Oreochromis niloticus: one gene and its partners. The protein of the gene in region 1 interacts with the protein of each later gene in a biochemical or structural test. Links are inferred from orthologs where the notes say so. Each region holds a gene or a part of one and is shown on either strand. Other genes may lie near its edges.

Region 1 (7,278 bases):
TGTTAAAACTCTAAAGAGTCCATTGTGTCATTTTCATTATAATTCTATTATTGTTGGGGAAATTGTAATCCACAGTTTAATACTCACTGAGATACTCTGGGATGAGCTCCTCGCAGTTGTCCATGATGAAGACTCTGCGCACGTACAGCTTGATATTGTTCTTCTTCTTCTTGTTCTCAAAGAGGTCGAAAGGAGCACGCCGAGGCACAAAGAGCAGGGCACGGAATTCAAGCTGACCCTCTACTGAGAAGTGCTGTAAGGCAAAAAAAATAAAAAAACAAAAGTGATTATATATTGGGCTACATTAAATCAGACACAATTTTCCTCCTATAAAGAACTGCTACATTTTTAAAACAACATATCAAGAGCCCAACCTTGACAGCCAAGTGGTCCTCCCAGTCATTGGTGAGACTCTTGTAGAACTCTCCATATTCCTCATTCGTGATGTCATCTGGGTTCCGGGTCCACAGGGGTTTGGTCTTGTTCAATTCTTCCTGGTCAATGTACTTTTCCTTGATCTTCTTCTTCTTCTTCTTTTTGTCTGACTTCTCATGGTCCTGTTCTTCATCTGATCCAACATCCTCAATCTCAGGTTTGTCCTCATCCTTCTCCTCATCTTTCTCCTTCTCCTCCTTCTCTTTTTCCTCCTCTGCCTCGTCGTCACTCACCTCCTTGTCCCTCTCTTTCTCCACCTGAAGGAAAATACATTTGGTCACACGCTGAAGAATTTCCCTACACCTTAGCCTTAGGGAGTCACTATTTTATAATATCAGTGTTACAGAGGTTTATTCAGCAACTTTCTCAGAAGTCTAAAGTGCAAAAGCTATCTGCAATAGTTACAAATTGAATTCTTCTATGGGATCATTAAATATGACTTAAGTACTTACAAATAGCGTAATAGGGTAGCCAATGAACTGTGAGTGCTTCTTAACAATCTCTTTGACCCTTCGCTCTTCAAGGTATTCTGTCTGGTCTTCTTTGAGGTGCAGGATCACTTTAGTTCCACGTCCCAGTGGCTCAGCTGTAGAGGAAGACCATAGGTCAGTATACTTTATAACCACCGGGTTAGATAATTAATAATTCACTTCAAATTTGGGTTTATATCACTTACAGTTGTCTACTTTAACTGTGAATGAGCCACCAGCAGATGATTCCCAGGCGTACTGCTCGTCATCGTTGTGCTTGGTAACGACTGTCACCTTCTCGGCTACCAGGTAGGCAGAGTAGAAACCCACACCAAACTGACCGATCATGGAAATGTCAGCTCCAGCCTGCAGAGCCTCCATAAATGCTTTGGTGCCGGACTTTGCAATTGTGCCCAAGTTGTTGATCAGGTCGGCTTTGGTCATGCCAATACCTGTGTCAACTAGGGTTAGAGTACGCTCCTCTTTGTTGGGAATGATCTCAATTTTGAGGTCTTTGCCAGTTTCCAGCTTGGAAGGATCAGTGAGACTCTCATAGCGGATTTTGTCCAGTGCCTGATGGAGCAAAACACAATGTTAATTGTTTAAAGAAATTCCAGAATTTATTCTGTATTGATAAAAATATAATTCAATTTCTTAAGGGGGAAAAAAGCATATTATTTAATGTCTTTTTTATTTTAAATAATAAACAAAGCAACACAGTCTAATATTGCAAACTTACATCTGAGGAGTTGGAAATAAGTTCCCTAAGGAAGATCTCTTTGTTGGAATAGAAAGTGTTGATGATCAGGGACATAAGCTGAGCAATCTCAGCCTGGAATGCGAAGGTCTCTGCCTCCTCCTCCATTGGTTGGTCGTGCATTTCAGGCATCTGAGTGAAGACGGAAAACAAATATTGTTTTTAAAAAAAATGCATTGACTAAAGTGACTGAAACACAATATAAAATACTCTTTTTTATAACACTAAATGTTTGCATCCCAGCAACATACACTTGAAAAACACTGCCAATCCTTCTTATGTAAGATGTTGCAGTTACAGCTTATCCTTATTAAGTAGCCTCAATGTAACATTGAGGAATTAACATCACTTCAAACTAAAGCAAATTCTGTGTAGATGTGTAGTATATAGTCACTTTTTTTGGTTTCTTTTTTTCTTGCTTACTTTCATAATTTTGTATTAAAAGGTACAAGGACCTTTTTTCCCCCCTTCTTGGACTGTGATTCAATCCTGCTTGGTTATTGGCTAATCAGAGATTAACACGTGGCTTGAATTGCATATCGGTATCAGCAGAAATTACTCCACCTGCTGGTTTCCCAGGTGAAGTGCAAGTTTCTAGAAGGTACGAGGAGGCAAGAAGAACTCTCTAGCAGTTTCCATATGAATCGAAAGCGCCCGCCTCTCATACAGCTGACGAGATTATAAGAATGCACACTCTGTACCCTACTGATTTTGCACTGAATTAAAACCTGGTACAAGGATAAGATGGCCCAAAAAATCTTGCAGAAATCTTAGCACAGGAAATTTGATTAAGGTTCAAACAGTTAAACCCCTGCTTAACATAACACCTTCCTCCCAAATGCATCACTAAAGCATCCTGCCATGTGGCTACTGTCCCGCAGGTTTGAATTCTGAAATGAGGCACAATAGGAATCAAATTCTTATTACCGTTTATGACGCTGACATTAAAATTTCAGAGCAGATACTTTTTAATCAGTTTTTAAAGACCAGGTGCTGTAACTACATTTCACCCTTTCTTCACTTCAGCCTCACTTTCTATCCAGACATGACAAAAATGTCAGCTTCGATTCTAAATTATTGTCAAATAAGCTAACATTTAGTACTATTAAATCTGAATTTGAGGGCGTGTAATATTTTCGTATCCCAAATGTCTGTGGTAAGGCTGTTAATGCATTTACCTTGGTTTGCAGTGTGCCCAAAACTCCTGAGGAAGATGTGTAGAGATCGCTCCTTACTCGCAGGCTCGTTGACTGCTAATGCTTCTATGGAAACTGGTGTAACGGTGCGGTTTTTATACCCTCTATGACCATTCGAGAAATCCTCCTGACACAAGCTTCCAGAACCGTCTGGAATCCTCCTGCTCGGTGGTGGCCGCTCACTGGCCCGGTGCCCTGTCAATCATGGTGCGTGTACATGCCTCTCTGCCTTTCTTGGCAGAAGGAGGCGGGATTAAGGGAGGGGAGGCTGAGCCGAATGAGGAAGGCATGTGAGAGCAGAAACTAGAATGAACCATGCTGTATTCACTGAAAATTCCAGAATACATGATAAATCAAACGATGTAATTGATAAAAGTAAGCCACTTAGCTGTATTAAGCGCTTCTCTAATACAACTTTTCACCTTTCAGTATTATTGTTTGTAGGAAGCAAAAACAAGTGATAAAATTAAGTGACAGGTGATAAGATAAGAAAAGTGACAGGTGTCATTTTTAAAATATATTTTATTACAAATTTGATTGCTTTTCATAAAAAATGTTACAAAAGAGATATAAGTCTAAACCCCGGTGACTTAATAATACTCTTAGTGATTGTCAGAAGTTTTATAAGTGGCTGATACAATATAAACTAAAGCCACTGTGGTCTGTATTAATTCCATCAACTTTTTCTGACTAGCACATTGTTTACTAACAGAAATTCTGCTAAAAAATAATGTACATTTAAATTAGGAACATAAATTACAAAAATAAAAATCAAAGCCAGAAAAAGTCTAGTAAATAATTTAGTCAACTTCCTCCATTCTTGATGTGTCATCGTCGCCTTCCAAGACTGGCATATCTTCATCAGCAGGCTGAATTATGTCTTCAACTGCAGAATCATCATCATCAATTCCTGTGTATAGAAATACATCCATTAAAAAACAAATTCCTCAATTAATGTATAATAACCTAACTACTACCTGGATGTTTGAAGGAAAAGCTATACATACCAAGACCAAGTTTGATCATTCTGTAGATGCGGTTAGCATGTGTTTGTGGGTCTTCCAGTGTGAATCCTGAGGAGAGCAGGGCAGTCTCGAACAGAAGGATGACCAGGTCCTTCACAGCTTTGTCGTTCTTGTCAGCCTCTGCCTTCTCCCTCAAGGTCTCAATGATTGGATGCAAGGGATTAATCTCAAGGTGCTTCTTTGCAGTCATGTAGCCCAAGGTGGAGTTGTCTCTCAGTGCCTGAGACTTCATGATCCTCTCCATGTTTGCCGTCCATCCATAGGTGCTGGTGACAATGCAGCAGGGGGAAGCAACCAAACGGTTCGAAACTACAACCTGTCAGGATGGAAATACAGTATTTTTAGTATGTTTGAACACAGTCAAGCAAGCTTCTCATGCCTAATAATGTTAACTATAATAACTTTATCATTTTCTGAAGGAGAAAAATTACCTTTTCAATCTTCTTATCAAGGATGTCCTTCATGATCTTGCAGAGTTCCTCAAACTTAGTCTTGAGCTCTTCCTGCTTCTTCTTCTCCTCCTCATCCTCAGGCAACTCCAGGCCTTCCTTGGTTACTGAAACCAAGTTCTTGCCATCGTACTCCTTCAGCTGCTGGACACAGTACTCATCAATGGGCTCAATCATGTAGATGACCTCCAGGCCAGCTTTTCGAAGGCGCTCCACAAAAGCAGAGTTGGCAACCTGGTCTTTGGTCTCACCTGTTAAAGTTATTTCAGTATGGTGTTATATGAACTTAAACTCCCAGGGAATACTTGAAAACAAAAGAAAAGGAAACCACACTGAATAACTTACCAGTGATGTAGTAGATGTGCTTCTGGTTATCCTTCATACGAGAGACATAGTCCTTGAGGGAAACCATTTCATCTCCAGAGGCTGAGGTGTAGTAGCGGAGCAGCTCAGACAGTTTCTTCCTGTTCTGGGAGTCTTCATGGATTCCAAGCTAAGCATAAAAAACAATGTGTCATTTTGTGTTATTAACATCAATGCAAAATGATTGGTATCATACATTTTTTCTGAAGTTTTAGAGTGTAAGAAATTTAGATGGATGATCCTACCTTGATGTTCTTGGAGAACTGCTCATAGAACTTCTTGTAGTTGTCCTTGTCCTCAGCCAGTTCTGAGAAAAGCTCCAGGCACTTCTTGACCAGGTTCTTGCGGATGACCTTCAGGATCTTGCTCTGTTGCAGCATCTCTCTGGAGATGTTCAGTGGCAAGTCCTCAGAGTCCACCACACCCTTGATGAAATCTGAGTAGGGAAAATAAACTGGTCAGCTACCCAAAGCCAGGAGTTGAGTTCCAAAAACAATTACTAATAACTATGAATTTTGAGAGAATGCATCATTAAAGGGTCAAGATTTTGTTCACTATTACTAATGTGTTACTTTATTGTTACTTACTGAGGTACTCTGGGATCAGTTCTTCACAGTTGTCCATGATGAAGACCCTGCGCACATAAAGCTTGATGTTGTTTCTCTTTCTCTTGTTTTCAAAGAGGTCAAATGCAGCTCTTCTAGGTACAAAGAGCAAGGCACGGAACTCCAGCTGGCCTTCCACTGAGAAATGCTGCAGGGGTAAGATATAGATATGTATTAATTAGCATAACATTATTGCAACTGGTGTTGCTAAATATGTTTTATCACAAGAAGATTTAGCTTACCTTCACAGCCAGATGGTCCTCCCAGTCATTGGTAAGACTCTTGTAGAACTCGCCATACTCTTCATTGGTGATGTCATCAGGGTTACGGGTCCAGATAGGCTTGGTCTTGTTGAGCTCCTGGGCATCAATGTACTTTTCCTTGACCTTCTTCTTCCTCTTGTTCTTGCCATCCTTTGTATCTTCATCCTCATCAGAGCCAACGTCCTCAATCTTAGGTTTGTCCTTGTCCTCAGCAGCCTCCTTCTCAACCTCCTCTTCCTTTTCTCCCTCCTCCAGGTCTACTTCCTTTTCTCTTGTCTTCTCCACCTTAAATATGCAAAGGCATATTTAAATTTTGCTTTGCCATACCATTATCACACCCAATGTGTGGTTATTATCAAGTATTGATTGGATAATTGTTCTTACTGTGTAATTAAAAACTTACAAAAAGTGTGATGGGATAGCCAATGAACTGTGAGTGCTTCTTCACAACTTCTTTGACACGCTTCTCCTCGCAGTACTCCGTCTGGTCTTCCTTGAGGTGAAGGATCACTTTTGTGCCTCTGCCAATTGGCTCTCCTAAAATCAACAACAAAATTAGAACCGTGGCAGACAAGGTCAAATGACTGATTCAATTGTTGTGTAAATGAGGCGACTAAGACATACCTGTATCAGGCCTGACTGTGAATGAGCCTCCAGCTGCAGACTCCCACATATACTGCTCGTCATCGTTGTGCTTGGTAATGACTGTCACCTTCTCGGCTACCAGGTAGGCAGAGTAGAAACCCACACCAAACTGACCGATCATGGAGATATCAGCTCCAGCTTGCAGAGCCTCCATGAAAGCTTTGGTGCCGGACTTTGCGATTGTGCCCAGGTTGTTGATCAGGTCAGCTTTGGTCATGCCAATACCTGTGTCAAGGATGGTCAGGGTGCGAGCGTGCAGATCAGGCCTGATTTCAATCTTCAGGTCCTTGCAGGACTCAAGTTTGGTGGGATCCGTCAAGCTTTCATATCTGATTTTATCCAAGGCCTGTCGAAAATAGATAACTCAATTAAAATAGTTTTGGGGGGCAAAAAATATAAGGGCTTGCTTTACATTCAAAAAAATTGGAAAACATGGTGTTGAAGTGTTTATTTCCCTTACATCTGAGGAGTTGGAGATGAGTTCCCTAAGGAAGATCTCTTTATTTGAGTAGAAAGTGTTGATAATAAGGGACATCAGCTGAGCAATTTCAGCCTGGAAGGCAAAGGTCTCCACCTCCTCCTCCATAATGTGTGCAGAACTCTCAGGCATCTAAAGGGGAAGAACATATTGGGTAACATTTTTCAGAAAAAAAAGAAATTGTACCTCTGTATTTTTTGTGTTTTCGAATAATTATATTTTCACCTGTAGTTTAAATTAATTTACTATGAACTTCTTCGGTTAAGTTTTTCTCAGGCAGCCACATGGCCTGCTGATGTGCACATGTTCCTTCTGTCAATCACAGAACTGGCATTTTTGGGGGGTTGGGGGTTTGGGGGGGGTTCAGATGCTTTGGAAACCCTTAATAGCTTCAATGTGTGTAGTGTTTTTGTTAAAAAAATAGCAACTTGAAATTCAAAGATGAAACAAAAACTAACTTTGTTTTTTTAGCATAGGAAGGGGTAGTCTGTTGTCACGACTACTGCATATATTTTTTTTGGCCTTCTAAGAACATTTCATACATTAAACAAAGGTTTTAATCCAGAATGAATAATTCCTTTACAGTTCTATG
Region 2 (7,784 bases), on another chromosome or scaffold:
CGGAGCATTAGCAGACTGCCTCCTGGGTGGTGGAACTGGAGGAGGAAGAGCTCTAGACTGCTGGGAATACTGATGCGGGGAACTGGATGTTCCATAAGATGACTTCCGACCCATCTGAGATAACCCTGTATGGGGCACTGGCTGGCTTTGTCCACTCTCGCTGCCGCGAGGGCCTTGATATTTGCTCTGTCTGAAATTGATGACAGAGCTGGAATCCTGCTGTCCCAGTGCGTTGCTGGGTTGTCTCATCACTGAGCTGAAATGAAAGCCCAGCATTCAACAAACAGTAGTCCTGTGACATGCTTTAAACTTTTAAAAAGATAACATCTGAATTTCTTTGGTCTCTGTCAACTAGGCACTAATTTAAGTGCCACAGCTTAAACAAGAACTTTGAAGTGCAATGATAATATCCATGGTTATGAAAACTTTTCCACATGTCATTATCACAGACCAATTCATCAAGTTAAATACCATGTGGGTATATTTTAGCAGTTTACATACATGAGCTATAAGAAAAGAGAGAAGCTACAGTGTAACCAATGATCAGTTAAAGACACCTTTTCTCTTTAGCTTTGTATGGATGAGGTATGGGTCCATAGGCTCTAGTTGAAGGGGTAGGTCCAGGGGCAGGTCTGTTGCTGCCATACTGCTGGGCTGGAGCAGCCTGTGAGTTGCTTTGTCTGTTCCACTGTTGGCTTTGAGGGACACCAGAAGGGGAACCTGAGGCCTGGTAACACCCAAAGGCACCTAAAGAAAAGGTCAATTCTCACAGGTAAACTATCACAACAAACAACAACTTCTGTCTGTAGATGTGACGGGTTATATAAATGACTTTACAATGCTAACCAATATTCTAAAAACATGTAAAGTCAAGCATACCTAAAAGTATGTTTAATTTTTCTGTGGATACACTGACATCTAGTGTCAGAAATAAAGCAGAAGCTTAGAAAATGAACAGTTCACCTGCTGGGTTGTGAGATATGGCTGAGCCGGTGTTTGGTGTGTACTCGCTGTGAGAAAAGAATTCATTCTCAGAGGGAAGAGCGGTCAAAGGAACCCTGTTTCGTTTCTTCTGGTTAAAGAGCGGCACAGAGAGGCAGCCTGGAGAAAACGGCAGAGGAAAGACCAGTGAACGAACCACAGCGCAACATGATGCTTAATGACACCACATACTCACTGACTGTTCATTATTTAACCTATTTAACTCCTCATGTACAAATAAACTCCACAGCTTGCCACATTTATCCACACACAAAGGCTCTATCACACAACCTGGCTGGAGTCAAAGAAATCAATGACTATGAGGTGGAGATGAATACACTGGTGTGCAGACTGTGAAGTTATTTATTTTTTTACCAACCTGATGTAGGCCTGGCCGCCTGGTTTTCCTGTCTCTTCATTGTACTTGCTTAGTTTGCAGTTTATTTAACTGGCAGGACTTTTTTAGCAGGGAAAACAAAGGTAAAAGAAAAAGACTATACGCTTGGTTTTCTGTGTAGTGCTGGAGGTTAACTAACTTGGAAAGTAGTAAGCTAAGCTAATTTATCTTGCTCTGGCTCACTAGCTAATAAGCTAGCTGTAATTTTTAGACATGTCATACAGTTACTGCCTGAAAGTTCAAAGTGTCGTGCTTTTACAGAACCAACCCATTTTCTGTGAACATCTTACATAAATGACCAGGTCGTTGTTGGTGAAAACTTGACAAAGTATTACAAAAAACTAAGACAACGGAAGTTAAAATTCAGCACCTCTGAAAGCGCCAAAACTTCGCGGTGACAGGTGATGCCTTCACGGTCTATAAGCAAGCTTGGACTTTGTAAACGCAGCCTCGAAATAACGGCTGGTCAAAAAATAATTACCGTGACATCTATATTTTTTGTGAGCTATTACCTTTTGTTTGTGATGTTTTTTGATCATCTGCTTTTGGCTGTTCTCTTATACACAAGAGGTCGCCACAGTGGATGGATCCACATATTTCATTTACACCGAATGTCATTTCCGATGCAACCCTCCCAGGGATTTGTATCCCTCCTTAAACCGGGAATATTTCTTGTGTTAAGCACTGCGGTCCTTTTTGGCAATATTGTATTCAAAATGATTATACATACAGTAGCTGTGGTCAGAATTTTAAATGCAATCAGGAAAGGTCATGAATGTCATGGTAATTTGTGGTTTTTAATCATTTCTTTGAACTGTTCTTTTTCCAGCATCTCTCTTTTAATGACTTTAAAAAGTTTTAAGTTCTAATTTATTTGGGATTTTTTTCTAATACACACTGGGTCAAATGTATACATACAGGCTCAAATACAAGAATACACCCACCCCAATATGGGTGAAACGTTTGATAGCTGTCATCAAGCATCTGTCATAATTCTGGCTGAATTTTTAACCATAATTCTTGGGATAATTGGTAGAATTTGTTAAATTAATTAAATTTAAAGTCATTAAAGATGTATGTAGTGCAATAATTCCACTCTGGAAAAACAGTTCAAAGAAATCATTAAACGTGCAAAACTATTATCACATTCATGAGTGTATCTTCCGACCACAACTGCACATGACATAATTTTAAAATTCCAGGTTAAAAATAATTCTAATAAAAGCAGGTGATATTTTAATTGTTATTGTTTGACCGTCGCCTGATGCACATGTTATGTGTTATTATACCCATAATTATAAATAATAATATAATGATAAATTAGAACATTTGCAGCAATGATTAAAAAGCAAACTTTTTCTGTTATGTTTCGCTTCAGAAGCTTCAAAAGTTCACATTTATGCACTATAATTCTTGTCAATCATTAACAATAAATAGAAATCAAAGTTTAATTTGAGCTAGATAAAAGTCAGTCTGACCTTAGGCTGTCAGGCTGGCCTTTATTTAACCAACTTATATTACTTCTACAGACATAAATTACATTACTGCACATTCGTTAGGAAACTATAACAGAAATATGATGACTGCAGGTGTTTTGTCCTTTAAGCAAAGTGAAATTTTACATTCATGTTGTTAAGATCACAATAGTTGCAACATTATTATCCTTACAACAAAAGATGAATATGACTGAATCCGGGTGTGCAGAGCATGACTGCAGTGGAATATAAAGCAAGTCACGACTCTGTGAAGGGAAATAAACATGCAGATTATAACATGATTAGCATTTCACACAAGCGGAGACAGAAACAGTAGGATGTGTGTGTATTTGTGTGATAACAGCAATCTGTTTACCCCTGTCTTCCAGTAGATGGGGGAGTGAGACAAAGAGCAAACTAACAGCCAGCGGGCTTCCTATGTTACTTTTTAAACCTACTTCCACACACAGCTGTCATTCATTTCTCTTAGTGTGCTGTTTACCACAGGAAAACATGGATTTCTCATCCTTACCCAAATCCAAAGAACTAGAATGTACAAAAATGTGTGTTATAAGCGTCACCTCATTTACTAAAGTCTCTGCCATGGTGAAATGTGGATGCGATCAGTCCTGGTGGTGCTTCAGGAGATGAAAATCAAATGAAAATGAGGCCATGTTTGGTTGAGTGCATAAGAAAAGACGTGGGCAAAGGTTTACAGCAGTGCCATCTCTGCTCTTGGTTTTGTGTAGTGCCTGAGGCTCAATGTGCTGAGTTCGAAGGCCACCTTTTGATCTTGGCTTCTATGTTTTGACTTTTCTAGCTTTGTGAATCCATAGCAACAGCAGCACTGATGGTCTATTCAGAATGTCTTCCACGTCCTCTTGATCCATTGAGAAACTCTTTGATGAACAGATAATTTGTGAAGCTGAGACTTCCAGGTGAGAAAAAAATACCTAATCATTTCGGCAGAGCTGCTGAAATTATTAGGATTTTTTCTGGGATTCCATAGAGACAGTGACAGTGCTAATGGCATAATCAGCTATAACAACTCTCTATAGGCAGAGTCTTTCTGAATAAAAATTGGGATGGTTTATTTCCCTGCAAAAGTCCACTGGTCCAAATAGTTAAACAATTTAAGAGTAAAATGGCAAAAGAGATTTCATCAGTAGCAGGAATGTCAAACATAAAGCCAAGGGGACCAGTTTTGGCCCAGCAATGGGTGTGCCATAAATTTTGAGCTTTTAAAACTGTGTGTTTCAAAAATTTTACACCTTGTCCAGCTGATAAAGAACTCCCCCACACAGGCCTGTCAGGCACTGAAAACATAAAAATACTAAAAGGGGGGGGGGAGCAGGCCCCAAAGTGTAAAGAACATGAAATCCTTTATGTAGAATAAGTTTAGCATTTTGCTTTCAGGACTACAGCAACTGGACTCTTCTGTTCCCAAATAGAATGTTAAAAGATGAGGCAATTACAACATAACAAATCCCAGCTTCACTGTAGTCATGTTGATTGCATGCACATTTTTTCTTGACCTTTTCCATAGCACCCCAGCTTTCTTCTTCTTCTTGGAAACAGGAATCTCACACAGTCCAACCTAATCACTAAACAGCAGACTCATTAACTTATAGTCTAGTGCAACTGTGGGTGAGTAACCCTGAGATTTTGTCTTGGACATTGTCTGCATGTCGTGTTTATCTGTTTTAGTGTGCCAAAAATAAATAGATACAAACATCACCGGCTTTGAATAAGTTGCTGGTCTAAATAATATTTTCGGGGTTAATATGTTTATGCCCTCACTTCCAACCTCTTCCTCATCTCTGTGCTGCTCAGAGAGCCAGTAACACATCTTGTGTAACGTAGCACCGGGTTTTCGCTCATCTTCTGGAAGTTTCAGCTACTGTGCTATATATTATTGCTCAGATTCCCCTCACGGGTGAAACGCTCATCTGGAAGCTGATTACGGATTTTCTACCTCCTAAACTGGCAACCTGCATGTTGTTGAGTGGGAGGCGCTAGTTCACAGTAGTTTCTGGAAAGGAACCTCATGCTTGCACCATGGAGAAAGTGAGTGTCCTGCTACTTATTTAATAATTAAAACTTTCTAACTATCATATTTAAGACATATTTGTGTATTCCTTTGAGTTCTTTGGGAAAAAATTTATTTACAATAATTTGGAGGTCGGAGAGGTTAGTCAGCTCTTTATCCTGACCGCTCACTGTTTGCTAGTTAGCTTGTTAGCTTAGCGTAATCTCGTTAGTAAGGTGTTGTAGTCATTTGGGCTTGCCGTTTTCACCCGTCACAGAACATTTTGACAGCACTAAACTGCAATGTTGCTTAACTTCATATTTCAAAAAGTGCAAGTTAACTTGAATGTTTATTCGCGCAAGGTTGTGTCTCACTTATGATAGCACACGACAAGGTTAGCTAACTGTTAAGCTAGCGTGCAGCAACTTAATTTGTCACACTTGCTTTTTACGTAAAATTATCCCTGTAAGGTTTGCCTGCCGCTGTTGCCAGTGGACAGTGTAGGCTCGGTGTTGTAAACCAGCCTTTTAGCCTTCTGCAAACATGGGCAATATACAAGTTACCAAATCTCAGTCAAACGCTATCTTTGGCTCACAACGTGAATTTTTATCAGTATGTCAGGATAAGAAAAACAGAGAGTCTTGATTTTATTAAGAAACAAACAAACAAAACCTTTGTGACCCCTTTATAAAACGAAAGCAGACGACTGTGAGCTTTTGCAGCAGTCGGTCTGTAAGCACATGCTGCAGGAGTATTTTTGGATTAGCTTCAGCGGTGCCATCGGCAGTCTGCACTCACACCGGAGGATCATTCTAGATGCACACACAGGCGAAGCTGTCATGGCTACAGCCGCATGTTGTCGTCAACTGCTGCGTCCTCTCGAACGTTCCGCATAACAGCTGCATTCACAGATATGAATGGATTTCATATCTGAGCTATTTTTATTACTTAAAAACTACTGTTGCGCTCAGACTCGGTAACCTATTTGTCCAGCATAAAATCAATAAGTGTGGTGCACGTTAGAAGTCAAAAGAGGGCACTGCCTAGTTAGAAATGTGCTGATGTTGCGAGGAATTTGTCCATGAGTTTAATTTTTATTACCTTTTTGTATTTTCTGGATAACGCCAAACTAAGAAATATTACATTAAGGATTTGACACATTGTGAAAGTAAGACTTGATGTATGCCTCAAGGTTCTTGATCAGCATTCACCATGGTGCAACACATCTACAGGTTTCATTTTCATTTTGGACCGACTTAGTAAAGATTATATGTGGATTATTACAACTATATGCACATTGTTTACACCCTAAGTACTAAAATGACTAGACTGTGATTACTTAATGCTTCACACAATGTATCCAAGTGAAGCATTTGGTCAACAACTGGACCTTGGTGATATAATCAGCTATCCCTTCCTTTAAGCTCCATAATATTTACTGAATATTCACTTTTTTTTTTTGACTAAACCCTATAGCACTGCAGGGGATTGTGATGTAGCTATGTTGTTTCAGACTGGATTAGGTCTAATGACTGCTAAGAAGAAAGTTGTGCCACATAACACTTGAAAGTTTTTTATCGTGGCTAGTTGTTAGTGGACTGAGTTTTATCAGACAGTTTTCAAGAGGAGCCAGCAGGGAGTGAGAAAACCTTTTTGGAGCAGCGTGGTGCTTCTTTCTTCTTGGCGTGTCATTGATTCTGTTAGATTCAGAGGAGGCACAGCGCGATTACTTCACAAACTGTAACAAGCAGCTTTAATTGACAAAGGGTGTACAGTATATTGACAACCTTTTTTTTTCTTTTTTTCTTTAGCATTGTCAGTATGGTTTGCTGTTGTATTCACTCTAACTTCCTGCAGAGAAAACTTTTAGAGTAATATACGTCTAGCTATCTAACCTCTGTTTTAGTTTAAAAGAAAAAAAATCATTATCTGTAACTGACACAAAAGTGGGGTCACCTTTGAGCTTGCTGTGAGGCAGGGCTTATTTTCAGGTCAATGCGGTAACAAAATAAAAACATTTTCTCTCTGCAAGACTCCTGCACCTGTTTGACACTAACAGCTGAATGATTGTCAATTCCTTTTTCACTTCTGCCAGTAGCAGCTGTGAAGGATTTTTCTCCAGTCAGGATTGTGTCTTTGTGTATTTAGAGCAGCAGAGCTGCAAAACAGAGGTTTTGTAAACATGTCTGTCTGTCTGTGCTTCATAGGCTTCAGCATTGAAAGACCAAGGAAACAAGGCACTGAGTGCTGGAAATGTCGATGAGGCCATACGTTGCTACACCGAAGCCTTGAGTGTTGACCCATCCAACCATGTCCTGTTCAGTAACCGCTCAGCTGCCTATGCCAAGAAAGGCAACTATGAGAATGCTCTCCAGGATGCCTGTCAGACTATCAAGATCAAGCCTGATTGGGGGAAGGTGAGATGTCCTTTTTTATGCCTTTGATTTGTTGACAGAATATATAGTTATTAAAATTGAGGAGACGGTCTAAAATATTTCAAATGTGATCAACCAGGGTTACTCCCGTAAAGCTGCTGCATTGGAATTTCTTGGCCGATTGGAGGATGCTAGAGTAACTTACCAAGAGGGACTCAGACAGGAGCCAAGTAATCAGCAACTAAAGGATGGGCTGCAGAACATTGAGGCCAAGCTTGCAGGTAAAGACTGGATTGTGTTTTTGTTTTGAGCTGCACAGAAACGACGCATAATTATGTCAAAAGTGTGTGAGTCACCTTTTGTTTCTGTGTGGGTAGAGGATTTTGTGATGGCTGCTGACAGCATCACTGAAGTGAAAATGCATTTTTTGAGCTTAGGTTTTCAGAATGAAGGAGACAGTCCGCTTGAGTTTGGAGTGTTTTTAATCAGACTGTGGGTAAATACTACAAGTTACAGAAAGAGAAAAG
Region 3 (7,436 bases), on another chromosome or scaffold:
TACTGAAATTGGATATCTTCGGGTTTACTTTTGAATAGCTCTATATTGTAGTGGTTTAGACACTGACTTGGCAAGTAAAATGCTGCTTTTTTAACTCTAGCTGGAGTCACAAATCCTTCTGTGGTTGTGCCTAGAAGTGTAAAACTCACAAATCAAACATGCAAAGCAACTCGCTCTGGCGACCCCTTGTGACAAGGGAACAGCAGAAAGTAGTTTCTTCTTTATGTCTGCAAGTAATAATAATAATAATAATAATAATAATAATAATAATGGATTGCATTTATATAGCGCTTTTCGGGACCCCTCAAAGTGCTTTACAATACCACTATTCATTCACTCTCACATTCATACACTGGTGAAGGCAAGCTACAGTTGTAGCCACAGCTGCCCTGGGGCAGACTGAGTCCACTCTTTAAGTCCACTCTTGGTGACAAAACCAATCAGTTACTGAATTATTATTCAGTGGATTTGTTAAAACATAATAAGGGACGTATAACACCATAACCAAAGGCAATGCTGTTTCTTTTAATGCCGTTTCATTTTCCCTGTGGGATCCCTTAGTTTGAAAAGATTATTATCCTCAATATGCTCTTACTTAAACACATTTAAGCAGGGACTCTACTTTCCAAAGATGGAAATATGAAACATGAAATTGAATGTATCAAACACGTTTCTGGATGCATTACCTTCAACAGCTGCTCCTTCATTAGGTTTAGAATATCCCTCCCCTTTAGTGATAATGCGTCGGATGATTCCTCCATCCTCTTCTTCAGTTATGTCTTCCCCTCTAAATTCAAACAGTTCCACCTATAAGTGTGTAGACATGTGACAAAAATGTATATCTTTTCATTAAAAAACCCCAACAACTTTTCCAATAAAATTTCCAAAGTTCCCCATTTTTTGTCAAAAAATTAGTTCTTTTGGGGGCAGGGGGTGGGGAGGAGCATTCATTCATGTTTGTTTGTTTTTCACCCATTTACTGTGTTTTTTTCCCTTTTCCTTTTCTTTTACTGTAGTCTTTAAACAAAAGGTTACATCAGTTATTCTAAATGTATGAAAAGGCAACAATTGGTTTTACGCAAAACAATGAAAACAGAAGGCTGTATAACAATTTTTAACACCATCAGAAGCAACAATTATAAGCACGGTGGAGATTCAAATTGTGAAACTGCTTATCATGATTTCCTTTTTTGCAATTCTGGCCACAGAGACAGCACTTAAAGAGATAAGCATTATCAGAAAAATTGATTCAGTTATCCTAAATGCTAAATTTAACCAAATACATTTTATGATCCACAGCTGGAATCCACTGCAAGACAACCGAGACGGACTGACTGAAATAAAGCTGGCTCTACTACACATTTCCAAGGATTCAATGCAGCGAGCCTGACCTCACTGGTTTGCAATGCGTAACCTGAACTGTAAAGGTAATTTATAAACTTGGAAGCAAAAAGATAATGAAGTATTTTGTACTCACTGAATTGAAGCCACTTCTCAATTTCTATCCTATCATGGAAGCGCAGCAATATACAGTATCTCAAACTGCACAAATAAAAGTACTTAATGGACAATGAAAACTGGCATCCTTACCTCAAAAACAAGAGTGGCACTGGGTGGTATCTTGGGTGGGCTGCCTGCAGATCCATAAGCATACTCTGGCTTACAGATGAGCTGGCACAACTCCCCAATTTTCATTGTGGCTACACCGATGTCCCAAGCCTTTATTACTTGTCCTATGGAAAAAAAAGTAGATTAAAACTCACACTTTAAGGCTTTTCTTGTCTCAAGCTGCCCCTCCCTTTTTGGTTTTGTGGTTATGTGGGGTTAAATATGCAGGTAAGCTTGGCTAATCCATATATAGTTTGGCTAAACAGCCTATGTTACCTTACTAGATGCATTCTGGTTCATTTCCTTTAGTAAAAGGTCATTTTTTAAAATGTAGAGAAAATCCTGCACTGGTTGTGCAGCTATAACAAATATGAAACTAACCTTTGCCCAACTCAAAGGAAAACTTCTCTCCTCTGTCTCTACTGGAGTCAAAATGAGTCCCGTCCAGAAGTGTGCCCACATAATGTACAAACACTTTGTCACCGGTCATAGGCAGTTCCGTGCCTGTACCTTCCCTTTTGATCACCTGGAGAAAAAGGTAAGACGAGAATTTATCAAAGAACATCAGAAAGCAATTTCTTGAACATGCATGTGATCGCTGCCTTGCACACGCACCACGCGTAGTGAACGACTAAATTACAAACTTGTTTATTCTGAATGAAGGCCTATATATTTAAAGCCCTCAGTATGTGTTTCATTGTGCGATGAAACATAGAATGTGTCCATCAATAAAATGACAGTTGTTTCTTCAAGGCTCCAGATCCTTCTAGAAATGCAGACCGTTTCATTGACAGCTAGTCTTGTTTCTGACACTCTGGTACTGAGTTAGTTCTCATATCTGTGACGTTGCATTTCATTATAAGGTGTTCCTAGCATTAAAGTTAGCTTTCATTGTATTTTTTTTAAATCAGTGTATGCGACAGCATAGCTATCAACAGCTAACGTTAGCCTAGCCGAATAGTAAACAAGCTGTCAGCTAACTACTCAGCTAGCTAGGTGCTGAGTACCAAATCAAGCACCATTTTTACCTTTAAAACACCCCCATCTTTCTTTGGTGTGATGTCCTCTCCCTCCAGGGGGATTGTATGTTGTACTTCACTTGTTTGCTCCTCTGCAGTCATCGTCATGAAGCTGATCTGTCCCTTCTCTGCCTTGCACCACAATCCAAACTAACACTGGCTAATAGTGACGGCGGCTAAAGCTCCTACTACTCCTCAGATCAAGTGCTGCAAGCAACAACCTGATTAACGTTAACTAGCTAGCTTAAGTTCCTCGAGAATACAGCACAACTTCCAATTAGCAACACGGGCCCTTTGCTATAGTTCACTAGTCACGCTGCTATCAGCTTATAATACGAGGTTTATGCAATGTTGCCTTCAGTCCACGTTGTCCTGCAATCTGGCATCTCACAGACGCTTAAAGAAGGGCAGAGAACTTTCCAGACAGTCTAGGAGGTACCGGGGGGGAGGGACCAACGTAGTCGACGTTAAATATAGTTTAAAGGATCTACCTGGAAGGCGGCAGCAAATCCAACGAGCAATGCTCATGCTTATTTTACGAATATTTTAGGTCAGTACTCAAATTGCTAATATCAAGGCTACATCTGACATTCCTTGTCATCAAACAGCGTTACAGTAAATGACAAAATCGTGGATAAATACACACAACCCCGTCCGCACAAATGTTAGTGTATATTAAAACACGCACTCCTTCTCGTAGCTCGTTTCCTATTGGCCAGACTCTGTGACCACTTCTGTTTGTTGGCGCGGTTGTTGAATAGCCGGGAACTGACAAGTGAAAACACAGACAAATACATTATTTTACATGATATACACGGTAAGAAACGGCAGTACTATTTTCTCAGATTTTGATTGACGTTCGCTAAAAGATACGATTGTAAGGAGAAAGATTGCTAGCTAGCATAACGCTTCACTTTAAAGATAGCTGAAAAGCTGTCGGTTTCAAATGTTAGCTGCTTGACGCAACGTATTGGTGAACAGGTAAGGTATTTAGTTAATGAAGATTTAGTTATTGTAGTAAAATGAGCCAAGCCGAAAAAGGAATTCGTCTGGATTGAAAAGGTGCTTTAATCGGTTGTTTGTAGAGGCAAGTCTACATATCAGAAATGAAATGTTGAAACTAACCTTTGCTTTTATGTTTCCTTCCAGTTAGGTTTAGGAGCATGGAAAATAGTAGGGCAGAGTTTCCATTTCCCTATCAGCCCTATAACATCCAGGAGGAGTTCATGCAAGCCCTGTACAGTGCACTTGACAAAGGCAAAGTTGGCATCTTTGAAAGTCCCACTGGAACGGTGTGTACTAGATGGGAGAAAAGCATATCTGTGCAGAAGCTGTTGGACTTCATTAATAAGTGTTTTTGTCTATTTATGTCAATCTAGGGCAAGTCACTGAGTCTGATATGTGGAGCACTGAGCTGGCTAAGAGATTATGAGGAGAGAAAGAGGCAGGAGGCAACTGCTCTGTTGCAGGAAGGAGAAGCAGCTCTTTCCACTAATGCTGCTCAATCCTCTGTAGCCAGCTCCTCAGCAGAGCTGGACTGGATCACTGACTTTGTGCAAAAAAAAGCAGAACGTGACTTAGTGTCAAAGTTGAAGGTGAGGAAAACTTGGATGTGAAGTGTGTGCGAAGTCTGGATTTGAACTTGCACAAAGTTTGCTTATTGTTGATTGGTTTGGTGTCAGGAGGAAGAATTGAAGAGGAAGAAGAGAGAAGAACGGTTAGAAATGATCCGGAATAATGTCCAGCTCAAGTATGCGGTTAAAAGAAAGGTGAGCCATCATGCACACGAGCATTTAATGGAGCTTCACTTGGATATTAAAATTACGAGTGACTTGGAGTAATTTTAATACAATACTTTTGTCTGTTCATAGAGCTATGAAGAGGATGAGGCATTCAAGCTGCTTCAGCTCAGTAAAGAGGAGCAGGTCGAGGCAACAGGAGATCAAGAAGACGAGGAGCTGATCATTGCAGAATATGAGAGCGATGATGAGTCAAAGATTAAGGGCAGGTGAGGAAGATTGATTGTTATAGTTTCATATTCATCGTTGTATTTTTACTCAATTGTATATAGCATTTGTACTCTATTTTTATCTCATTGTATATTTTATTCTATTTTATTCTACTGTATATAGTATTTTATTTTATTCTATTCTGTACAGTTGTGTACTGTATTTATTCTTATTTTATTTTATTCTAATTTTTGCTTCATAACTTTTGCACTGTCCACTTCCTGCTGTGACAAAACAAATTTCCCACGTGTGGGACTAATAAAGGTTATCTTATCTTATCTTATCTTATATTTTCTAATTAGTTTGAATTCATCTTGAGTTTTTGGTTACAGTTCAGTTTAGTCTTTGTTAGTTTCCAGAGTGGATTTGCTTGTTCGTTGGTGCGATTGTTGCAAAGCAGCAGTCCCAGTACATGTTATTGTCATTGGCCATTTTTCTTCTTCTTTGCCCACTAACTAGTCTTGCATCATGTGTCATAGAGTGTTCATATGTCAAAACGATCAGCTCAGTTGTGTCTTCTATTTAGGTTTTTCAAAATTTTGTGTTTTCTCTGATGATACAGTCCCGTTGATTACTTTTTTGTGTGTATCATACAAGAGTTATCGTTAGTTTGAGTTTAGCTTTAGTTATATATTAATAAACTAAGTGAGGACATGAATTAATGGGTAAAATTAATAAATAATCCAAATGAGAGTCTGAAATTGATAAAGGATTTATTTGCTTGCATCCTCAGATTCTTTGGAGCAGAAGAAGATGAGGATGATGAACTGGTTGAAGAACATGTTACTAAGGTATGAAATTTCACATTGCACAGCTGTAAGAGTTAAATGGGTTGGATGGATGGATATATTTATAGCATGGAAATTATTATAATTATGAGCATCGGACATTCCCCTCATGTGGAACTGTGTTCATATGCATATCTGTAGATTTACTACTGCAGCCGCACTCATTCCCAACTGGCCCAGTTTGTCCATGAGGTACAAAAGAGCCCCTTCAGCAAGGACATCAGCGTGGTCACACTGGGTTCACGGCAGGTATGTACCCAGCAGCGACTGTTAAAAAACATATTTTCTACTGTTGAAAAAAATGTTTATGCAGTCCTACATACAGCATTTGGTACACACACACAAAAACACACAAATGTCATTATTGGTTGAATACATAAATATCTATTTAAAGTAACACAAAATATATATGAACATGAGCTGATAATTTTTTGCATGAATCTCTTCATCCTGTCCTCTTATTCATTCAATAGATGTGATTATACTTTTTTCTTGAAGTTGGTTTTGACTGTTTCTCCATGGTGCCTCTTTTGTCAGCTCGAGTACTTGAGAGATTTCTGGCAATTTCCTTTAATTCCTCAAAGTAACTGATTGGTATAATTTGTCTCTATTTTTTTGTCAGTAAAAGTACAGATTGTTCATAAAGTATGCCACCAAAAAAAGTCTTTCTGTTTGTTTACCTACTGGCAGTTTTTCTTTCATAGAAGAATTTTTACTGCTCCCACCCGAGGAGGTTTTAAGCATAGCTAAAGGAATCTCACCAACGTGCTTTGTTAACTAGGTTTCATTACACACGTGTAATAACTATATTTTGTTTCTCAAATGGTCAGAAATAACAAATAAGTTAACAAAGGTTCATTGCCTTTGACGTATGCAGACTCGTATGTGTGTAATCAGCCTGTTAGAGGCTTTTTCAAATGTAGGAAAAAACCCGATCTTAATTTTCAGAGGATAATAAAGCCAAGAAAACATTTGCAGAACAGGATATGATGGGGAACAGTTATGAAACTGTCTAATTCTGAAAGAGTCCTTTTAGATTCTGACAGAACTCTCAAGTAGCACCTAACAACAGCCAGCGCTGGGAAGACTGGCCTGTTAAATCCTCTACATGACAGAAAAAAATGGAGAAACAAATGCAAGATAAATGGCGTTATGTTCTTTGCTATAGCACATTGAACAATCTAGTTCTAGGAGGGGATTTCCCTTATGAAATACACAGTATTCAAAGACGCTGTACTTGAGACTTTACTTGGCATTGCACACAAACTATTACATTTATTCAATGAATAAAACTGTGACTCTTGACACTGACATCTGACATTGTCCTGTTATAAAATTCTACAGAATCTGTGCATCAATGAAGAAGTGCGGCGGCTGGGCAGCATCCAGCGCATAAATGACCGTTGCATGGAGATGCAGAAAAACAAGCACGGTGAGAGGCATTTTGTAGAAGAATTGGTCTTCTTACAGAAATTATTTTAACCTCAGGCTTTATTGATTTTTCTCGAGAAAGCCTCTTTCATCTCTCCTTCCATTTTGTAGAGAAGCATCATCACGAAGAGGGTGTAAAACGTAAGCGAGGCCCAGCAAAGAGCGTGTGTCCCTATAATAAGGCTTCAGCACTGCAGCAGATGCGAGATGTAGTTCTGGGGGCTGTTCATGACATAGAGCAGCTTTTGAAGCTGGGCAGGGAAACGCACTCATGTCCTTATTACGCTACACGTCTCGCTATTCCCCCTGCACAGGTAGGTCTCCCTGCACAGGGAGTCGCCAGTCGATTTGTCAACAAAAGCTACTTGCTTACTGAATTTCTCCCACAAGATCTGGTTTTCATTTAATGTCTTTGTGGTTTGTTTATGTTGGTGTAGCTGGTTGTGTTACCCTATCAAATGGTGCTTCATGAAGCTACAAGACGAGCAGCAGGTGTCCAGCTAAAGGGACAGGTACAATTATATGTCTGGTATTCTTCTTCCTGTCTTAAAAATAGAAAAAACAAGTGTTTAAAATATCTT
Region 4 (7,045 bases), on another chromosome or scaffold:
AACAACTGAATGGTGGGAATTTAACCACAGAAATCAGGCTTAACACTGCTTCAGGTATCAGAGTAAATAAAATGGGGACAAAGTGAGTGTTGAAGTCCAAAATCTTTACTATGGGACTGATGTGCACCAACCTCAGTTTTATCCATCTTAGCTTTGGACTGTGATGTGGACTGTGGTTTGGCCACACCATTGGCTGTAGGTAGGATCATCCCCTGTGTGAATTCTGCAATTAAAAAAAGAAAGAAGAATTTGTATAAATATAATTATTTGACCCTTTTCTTTAACCTAATCTGAATCTGGAAAACTCTTAACGCAAATTCTACCCATAAAGAGTTTAATGATTTACAATCATGCATAATCTCAACGTGTTCAGCAATTAGGCTCTGGGAGAAATTTGCTACGCGTTAGCTCACCTGTTTTTAAGAACCCAACGTAGCTTTGCAGTGCGTCGCGGAATTTATCCACTCCTTTCGTTTTCATCAGGTTCACCAGCGGCGTGTCGGGTTCATCTTTGTTCAACGATACAGAAATCTGGACACGACACAGGAAAGTAAACTCAGTAAACTCTTCCTCCACCTTCCAGCCAGTCTGAATCAGTGTGCACATGTGCTCTGGTGAAACTTACATCAAGATCCTCCATGTCATTTTCATCAGACAGGTTTGGAACTTCAATTGTTCCTTTATACTTGACTCCTGCTTTTGACTTTCCTGTTCAAACAAAAAATTATAAACATGTCAGCAAAGATTCAAAGCCTCTTCAAACCCGTCTCCTATTTTAGTAATGATAATAAAAATGCAACATATTAGCTCTGTCACTCTTCTCTATAAGCCACTGAAGCTTTTCCCCCCTATTAGATATGAAAATCTACCTGTTAAAGGCTGAGCTGCAAAACTTCAACATATAAGAGATCGTGCCCTGCATTCAAGATGTTTGCAAACAAGCTGGCACAATGCTGATTAAGTCTCAGTGCCTGCTAAATTATAGTCTGGAAGCAATGACGGTAACTGCCACTGTTAGCAGCCAAACGACCAGTTTCAGAGATGCAATTAAAACCAAACTACTGCCTTAAATGAAACAAACAATAATGCTAGTTTTCTACTTACCAGTCCAAGTAGCTTTCACGTTCCACTCATAAAAGAAAATAAGTTTCCCTTTGCGGTTGTTAATCGAGGCCTCTCCTTCGACCTTGCTGACTTCTGTCACTTCACACGTTCCCTCCTCATTCTCCACGCTCAATCCAAGAAGCAGAGATTTTAATTTATCTGATGACCAGTTTGTTGCATCTCTTTCCGTCCTGCAAAGTCCAGCAGAGACCACAAAGATAAGTGAGCAGATCCAAACAAGGAACAAAAAACCCCAACACCTTAACTCAGGATTGTGCACTTTACAAGCCTTCTTCTCACTGTATTTTAAACGTGTCTGCAGTCATACTCAACTGGGAAATTTGTTTTCTGAATCCCAAACATGAGATGCACTGACATGTCATTAAACATATGTCTGTTTGACACTGGTCGTTTGGCAAATGAAAGGCTATGATTGGCCAAGATTTACCTGCTCAGTCACATCAATTGTAAACTAGCAAGAGGAAGATCATGGTACTTGGATCTGCTCTCTTATTCACAAGGAGTTGCCACAGCGGGAAGCTCCACATGTTTAATTTGGCAGAGGCTTTACACCAGATGCCTTTCCTACTGGAATCTCACCTCACATGACTGAATTCACAGATTCACTTGTTTGGGAAATGTGTAAAGCACTACCCTATGTGGCCACTCACTACGAACTAGTTAAATGTGTAAAAAAACAATATATAGAATAGAATAGAATAGAATAATCCTTTAATTGTCCCACAAGGGGAAATTTGGTTATATAGTGTGATGATGAGGATTAAGACTGTAAAACATTAAAGTGAAGGGTTCTTTATTTTCATAACACAAAAGGGGGAAAACAAACAAACAAACAAAACCCAACAATTGTGTACAGTTGTAAAGTGTACATTACTGGTAACTACTCAGGACGTCACAATTGGATCACCCAGTCAGATGGCCTCTGACATCAGTTTCTAATCCTCAGCTAGATACAAATGTATTTTAGTCGGTCACCACAGCTGGAAGGTGGGCACAGACCGGCTTAAGTGACAAATCTCAGGAACCACATTCTAGTTGACTGGTGACAGCGCCCCTTGCTAGTAATCAGTATGGCTGCCACAGAGAAAAGCCTGTAATCAAATGCTCCGAGATCATTACAAAAGACGAACAAATGCCATATTTACAAACTATGAATTTATTCGTATTATTTTGCGTAGGGCAGCTATAAAAAAGTGCAGTCACGTTGTAACTGGGGCTACCACACGTGTTCTGGTGTAACCGATGAAACGCTGGTAACCGTAAACTTACCAATTGTGAGAGACTATAAAGCTTGTTACTACACCAGAATACTGCAGTAGATACAATTGGTCATGCTGCATTTTAACGCTACTGATGTTAAAAGCCGTTACACATGCACTTGAAGCTTCAGCGGCTAGCTACAGGCGAAGCTAACTTAAGAACGCCTGCAATGTTAGCTCGCCTAATTATTTCAAACTTTGATATACCTCAATACTTGCAGCCGGCTACAGACAAAATAATGACCTAAACTTACTTGATCCAAACCTAAACATATAAACTACAGTTTGATACTAACAGGAGCTCGGTGTGTCGTGTTAGCATTAGGCTAACAGCTAAAAACCAATGTCCTTTCATTAGCTCTTACCAATGCCAATTGTTGACATTAGTCGCATCAGCTCTCTCCTCTACAATCCAACGAGGGTCTCCTTCTCCCCACTTCGCCATTTTGTTGACTAAATAATAAGAAACGTTTAACCGTGTAAGGTTAAAAGCAGAGAGCAGGTGTCTGCCGGTGACTATCCACCGATGCGCACGCTGTTTCTAGAAGCCTCTAGCTGCTGCGGGCTCTCAAGCGGTGCTCCTGCGTTTATTCGCCGAGCACAGAAAATGCTGGAAACGGAACGTTGTGGAAGGAGGTAAAAAAAATGTCCCCCCCTTGCCGGAAGTCTGAAGAATAGTTCCGCGTTAGGAATGCAGACTTCTGGAACTACAAAAATAAAATAAGTAAGTAAGTAAATGATTAAGTACATAGACAGATAGATAGACTTTGAAAAGCCTTGTTTTTATTTTCCATTTCAACTGTATTTTTTTTTTAAGAAAGCGCTTCATTCTGCCAGGCTCACATGAACTACTCATACAAATTACTTTTACAAGTATTTTTTTTTAACCAACCACACAAAATTTGTAAATGTTCCAGTTTTTTTGATTTTGTTTTTGTTTTTAAGGATGTACTTTTTTTTGTCTGTTCTTGTCTGTTTGCAAGGGGAAGACAAATGAAGGCCTCACCCTCAGGTTTATGAAAATGGAGATTTTTCACAGCTATGGGGCAATTTTTGGACAAAATAATTGATTAATTATGAAAACAACTCTTAGTGAAACTTCTGATGGCATGGCCTAAACATTTTACATATCTTGAAGTAAACACCTGTGATATTAGACAGTGATTATAAAAATGAGTGGAAGACCGTGAGGGATTAAGTCCATGTCAGCAGATTCTCGCTTTGAGTTTGAGTGAGTATAGCATGAGCTATTATTTATGTATGTTCCCTTTGCTGTGAGTAAAAAAGAAATGGCTGGTGTCCACTCACTGGCCATTTCAATAGGTATAGCTGTTCAGCTGCTCATTAACATGGCTATCTAATCACATAGCAACTCAATGTATTTGGGCATGTAGACACAGACTGAATATTTCATAAACTGTTGATCTACTCCATAAGTCTCTCTCTATATATTTAGAGCAACAATAACTGAAATACCCAGTAATTACAACCAGGGTATGCAGAAGAACATCTCTGAGAGTACGACACATGGAACCTTGAAGAAGATGGTCTGTAGCAGCAAGAACAGCAAACTCGTGCTACAGTTCACACAGGCGCATCAACAATGCACAATTGAAGAGTGGAAAAATCCTGCCTGGTCCGATGAGTCTCGATTTCTGCTGCAACATTCAGAAACAACATGAATGCATGGCTCCATCCTGCCTTGGATCAGTGGTTCTGGAGGTCTAATGGCATGGTGCATAACTTCTTGGCACACTCTGGGCCCCTTAATATCAGCTGAGCATAATGTAAAAGCCGCAGCCTACCTGAGTATTGTTGACCATGTTCCTCACTCTATGACCGCTTCTGGCAGCAGCATCCACCAGGATCATGAACCATGTTGCAAAACTCATGTCAAACATCTTGATGCATTCTCAATCATCCAGGAAAGTAAATCTCCAAAAGTTGAATCTGTTCATCTGGACGTAGCGTTTTGTGGGAGAAACGTTTCGTCACTCATCCAAGTGACTTCTTCAGTCTCAGCTGACTGCAGGTTTCCCCAAACCTTATAAACAGTACATTTGCATAATGACTGAAACCAGCCCACTGAAGGAACAATGGGCTGTGAGGTCAGTTTCTTAATCATAATTATGCAAATTCCATGACCATTGATCAACAATCACTGACCAAAACCCACTGATCAAAGAACACTGATCAATGGTAAATGGACTGGTTCTTATATAGCGCTTTTCTACTCTTCTGAGCACTCAAAGCGCTTTACACAACTTGTGCATTCACCCATTCACACCCATTCGCACAAGCACATTTTTCTAGGTGCTTTCTAAGTAACATTCACACACACATTCATACTCCGATGGATGCATCGGAGAGCAATTTGGGGTTAGTATCTTGCCCAAGGATATTTGGCATGCAGACTAGGGGAAGCCAGGAATCGAACCACCAACCTTCCGATCAGTAGATGACCTGCTCTACCACCTGAGCTACAGCCACCCCACCCCAATGGCCATGAGTACCATTCACAGAGAGTTGGGGAATGGCTGCAATCACAGCATTGTAAGATGGCGAAAGATGTACCCTTAGGCCCCCTCCTCGGTTTGAGCGCGGAGTCAAGGAGGCCATTTACGTGAAAAGGGAAAGACCATCTCTGAATCGAGGAGGGGGCCTAAGGGTACATCTGTCACCATCTTACAATGCTGTGATTGCAGCCATTCCCCAACTCTCTGTGAATGGTACTCATGGCCATTGATCAGTGTTCTTTGATCAGTGGGTTTTGGTCAGTGATTGTTGATCAATGGTCATGGAATTTGCATAATTATGATTAAGAAACTGACCTCACAGCCCATTGTTCCCTCAGTGGGCTGGTTTCAGTCATTATGCAAATGTACTGTTTATAAGGTTTGGGGAAACCTGCAGTCAGCTGAGACTGAAGAAGTCACTTGGATGAGTGACGAAACGTTTCTCCCACAAAACGCTACGTCCAGATGAACAGATTCAACTTTTGGAGACTCATGTCAAACAGTTTTTTTTGGGGGGGGTTTTGTACATGAAAGTGAGTTCACTGTACTCAAACGGCTTCCACAGTGACCAAATCCAATAGGGCACCTTTGAGAGGTGGTTGTGGTGACACGCAGCCGATAAATGAACAGCAACTATGTGATACTGTCCCGTCAATATGCACCAAAATCTCAGAGGAAATTTTCCAGCACCATTTTGAATTAGTGCCACGAAGAATTAAAACAGTTTTTATAGCAAAAGGGGGCTAACCTGGGGCTAGCAAGGTGTACCTTGCTAAAGTTGGCGTTTGGTACGTAACTTATATCCTCTAATAAGTCAAATTAACTCTTATTATCCGTCTTATCCAAAAAGTAGCCCCACCTTCTGTTTTTTGTGTCAAGTCTAATAATTGTTCCAATGAGGTTACAGATCAGTAGCTAGATGTTGGAGCCTCGAGGATTTAAAGTCTGTGTAGGTTCTGGTAACAGGCACATAGATAAGCTAATAACCATTGCTGCAAATGAAAACATCCAGAGGCAGAGGTAATAAGCATCATTAGCGATGATAATTACTGGTAATTACACCAATCAGATTTAAAGAGTCTTATAAAAAACACTAATGAAAAGCCTCCAAAGGTGGCTGCTACTGATTTGGGAAGATATAAACAAAGTGCAGTTTAACTTCTTATTAAACCTGCAGTTTAGAAGCTTAAAAAACAACCATCAATGAGCAAAATACACAATTCTAAAAGACTGTTCATGCAGTTTACTTATCAAAGTGATCTCTATTGAGATGGAAAATCACATGGGATCATATTTGAACTTGACTTTATTGTCTTTTTCTGGCCTTAGTATGGATTTGTAATCAGATCTCTGATTTCTTTAGTACACAGGGAAAGTATAAAACTCAGTGTTCTTTGAATCTGTCTGTCATTGCATTAAAATTTCCAGTGAATGAGAATATTTCCACAGGTTATCAATACAATATATTACCAAAGACATTTCTTTTAAGTGTCTGTCCACATAAACAAGACAGAAAAAGGTGAAAATAAGAAAAAATGACACACCGAGTTAAGTTAGACCAAACTATAAAGGGTTAAAAGCGGTTCTATCAGCTACTGAAACCAGCTGACTTTTTGTTACCTCGCCAGAATGATTTCTTCAGCATTTTAAGAAAATACGAGCATAAGCAAAAGCAAGTCCTTTTCACCACCAAAAGGAAAAAGCTTAGACGCATTTTGTTTGTTTGACTTGGTGAAAACAGAGCATACAGTGACTCAACAAGTATATACCTTTTTTGCCATGTATTAAGTGTAAAACTATGGTTTCTGTTATATTATCTAAAAACAGTTAACACCATTTGAACTTTATTCAAAGGCTTTATTCAAATTTGACTCATAATGGACCAGTGACATTCAAAATAAAGCAGAGTAACTGTTCGGGGTTGAGCAAAATGGTTTTATTATTGCGGTCTCAACACACATAACATGTATAAACCATGCTTACAGCTCACTGGGTAAGATCCACGCACTATTACCCAAAATGTGGTGTGTTAGTTCTGATCACAACTACCAGAGGCTCAGTCTGCATGTGTGGCAGTGTTTTTAAACCCAGTCGTGTTACTGACCTGCTGCCAACAAACCCAATTAGTGTAAAGAGATGTTCCAC

Evidence for each region.
Region 2: the proteins of hsp90aa1.2 (region 1) and stip1 form a complex in vitro, tested with the Homo sapiens proteins (9 studies listed by BioGRID). The link is inferred for Oreochromis niloticus from reciprocal best matches to the Homo sapiens genes HSP90AA1 and STIP1.
Region 3: the proteins of hsp90aa1.2 (region 1) and fkbp4 form a complex in vitro, tested with the Homo sapiens proteins (4 studies listed by BioGRID and IntAct). The link is inferred for Oreochromis niloticus from reciprocal best matches to the Homo sapiens genes HSP90AA1 and FKBP4.
Region 4: the proteins of hsp90aa1.2 (region 1) and ahsa1a form a complex in vitro, tested with the Homo sapiens proteins (4 studies listed by BioGRID). The link is inferred for Oreochromis niloticus from reciprocal best matches to the Homo sapiens genes HSP90AA1 and AHSA1.

The regions. Positions count from the first base shown.
Region 1 is NC_031980.2:5,312,747-5,320,024, reverse strand, and holds the start of hsp90aa1.2 (heat shock protein HSP 90-alpha), read right to left. Parts: upstream 3,019-7,278; 5' UTR 2,841-3,018; intron 1,795-2,840; coding exon 1,645-1,794; intron 1,479-1,644; coding exon 1,112-1,478; intron 1,022-1,111; coding exon 888-1,021; intron 693-887; coding exon 375-692; intron 254-374; coding exon 88-253; intron 1-87. Other genes in the region: hsp90aa1.1 (heat shock protein HSP 90-alpha 1), read right to left, coding at 3,659-3,768, 3,866-4,199, 4,315-4,583, 4,678-4,825, 4,941-5,131, 5,283-5,448, 5,543-5,848, 5,967-6,100 and 2 more. UniProt on the Homo sapiens protein: Molecular chaperone that promotes the maturation, structural maintenance and proper regulation of specific target proteins involved for instance in cell cycle control and signal transduction.
Region 2 is NC_031975.2:9,398,160-9,405,943, reverse strand, and holds the start of stip1 (stress-induced-phosphoprotein 1), read left to right. Parts: upstream 1-4,767; 5' UTR 4,768-4,911; coding exon 4,912-4,920; intron 4,921-7,089; coding exon 7,090-7,299; intron 7,300-7,396; coding exon 7,397-7,538; intron 7,539-7,784. Other genes in the region: spata22 (spermatogenesis-associated protein 22), read right to left, coding at 1-256, 558-747, 964-1,101, 1,891-1,996. UniProt on the Homo sapiens protein: Acts as a co-chaperone for HSP90AA1. Mediates the association of the molecular chaperones HSPA8/HSC70 and HSP90.
Region 3 is NC_031972.2:54,490,059-54,497,494, reverse strand, and holds the start of fkbp4 (peptidyl-prolyl cis-trans isomerase FKBP4), read right to left. Parts: upstream 3,018-7,436; 5' UTR 2,736-3,017; coding exon 2,637-2,735; intron 2,135-2,636; coding exon 1,990-2,134; intron 1,734-1,989; coding exon 1,591-1,733; intron 808-1,590; coding exon 687-807; intron 1-686. Other genes in the region: ATP-dependent DNA helicase DDX11, read left to right, coding at 3,791-3,919, 4,007-4,222, 4,310-4,396, 4,499-4,635, 5,370-5,427, 5,566-5,673, 6,769-6,856, 6,967-7,169 and 1 more. UniProt on the Homo sapiens protein: Immunophilin protein with PPIase and co-chaperone activities. Component of steroid receptors heterocomplexes through interaction with heat-shock protein 90 (HSP90).
Region 4 is NC_031983.2:6,923,482-6,930,526, reverse strand, and holds the start of ahsa1a (activator of 90 kDa heat shock protein ATPase homolog 1), read right to left. Parts: upstream 3,008-7,045; 5' UTR 2,830-3,007; coding exon 2,750-2,829; intron 1,296-2,749; coding exon 1,105-1,295; intron 709-1,104; coding exon 626-708; intron 532-625; coding exon 414-531; intron 224-413; coding exon 132-223; intron 1-131. UniProt on the Homo sapiens protein: Acts as a co-chaperone of HSP90AA1. Activates the ATPase activity of HSP90AA1 leading to increase in its chaperone activity.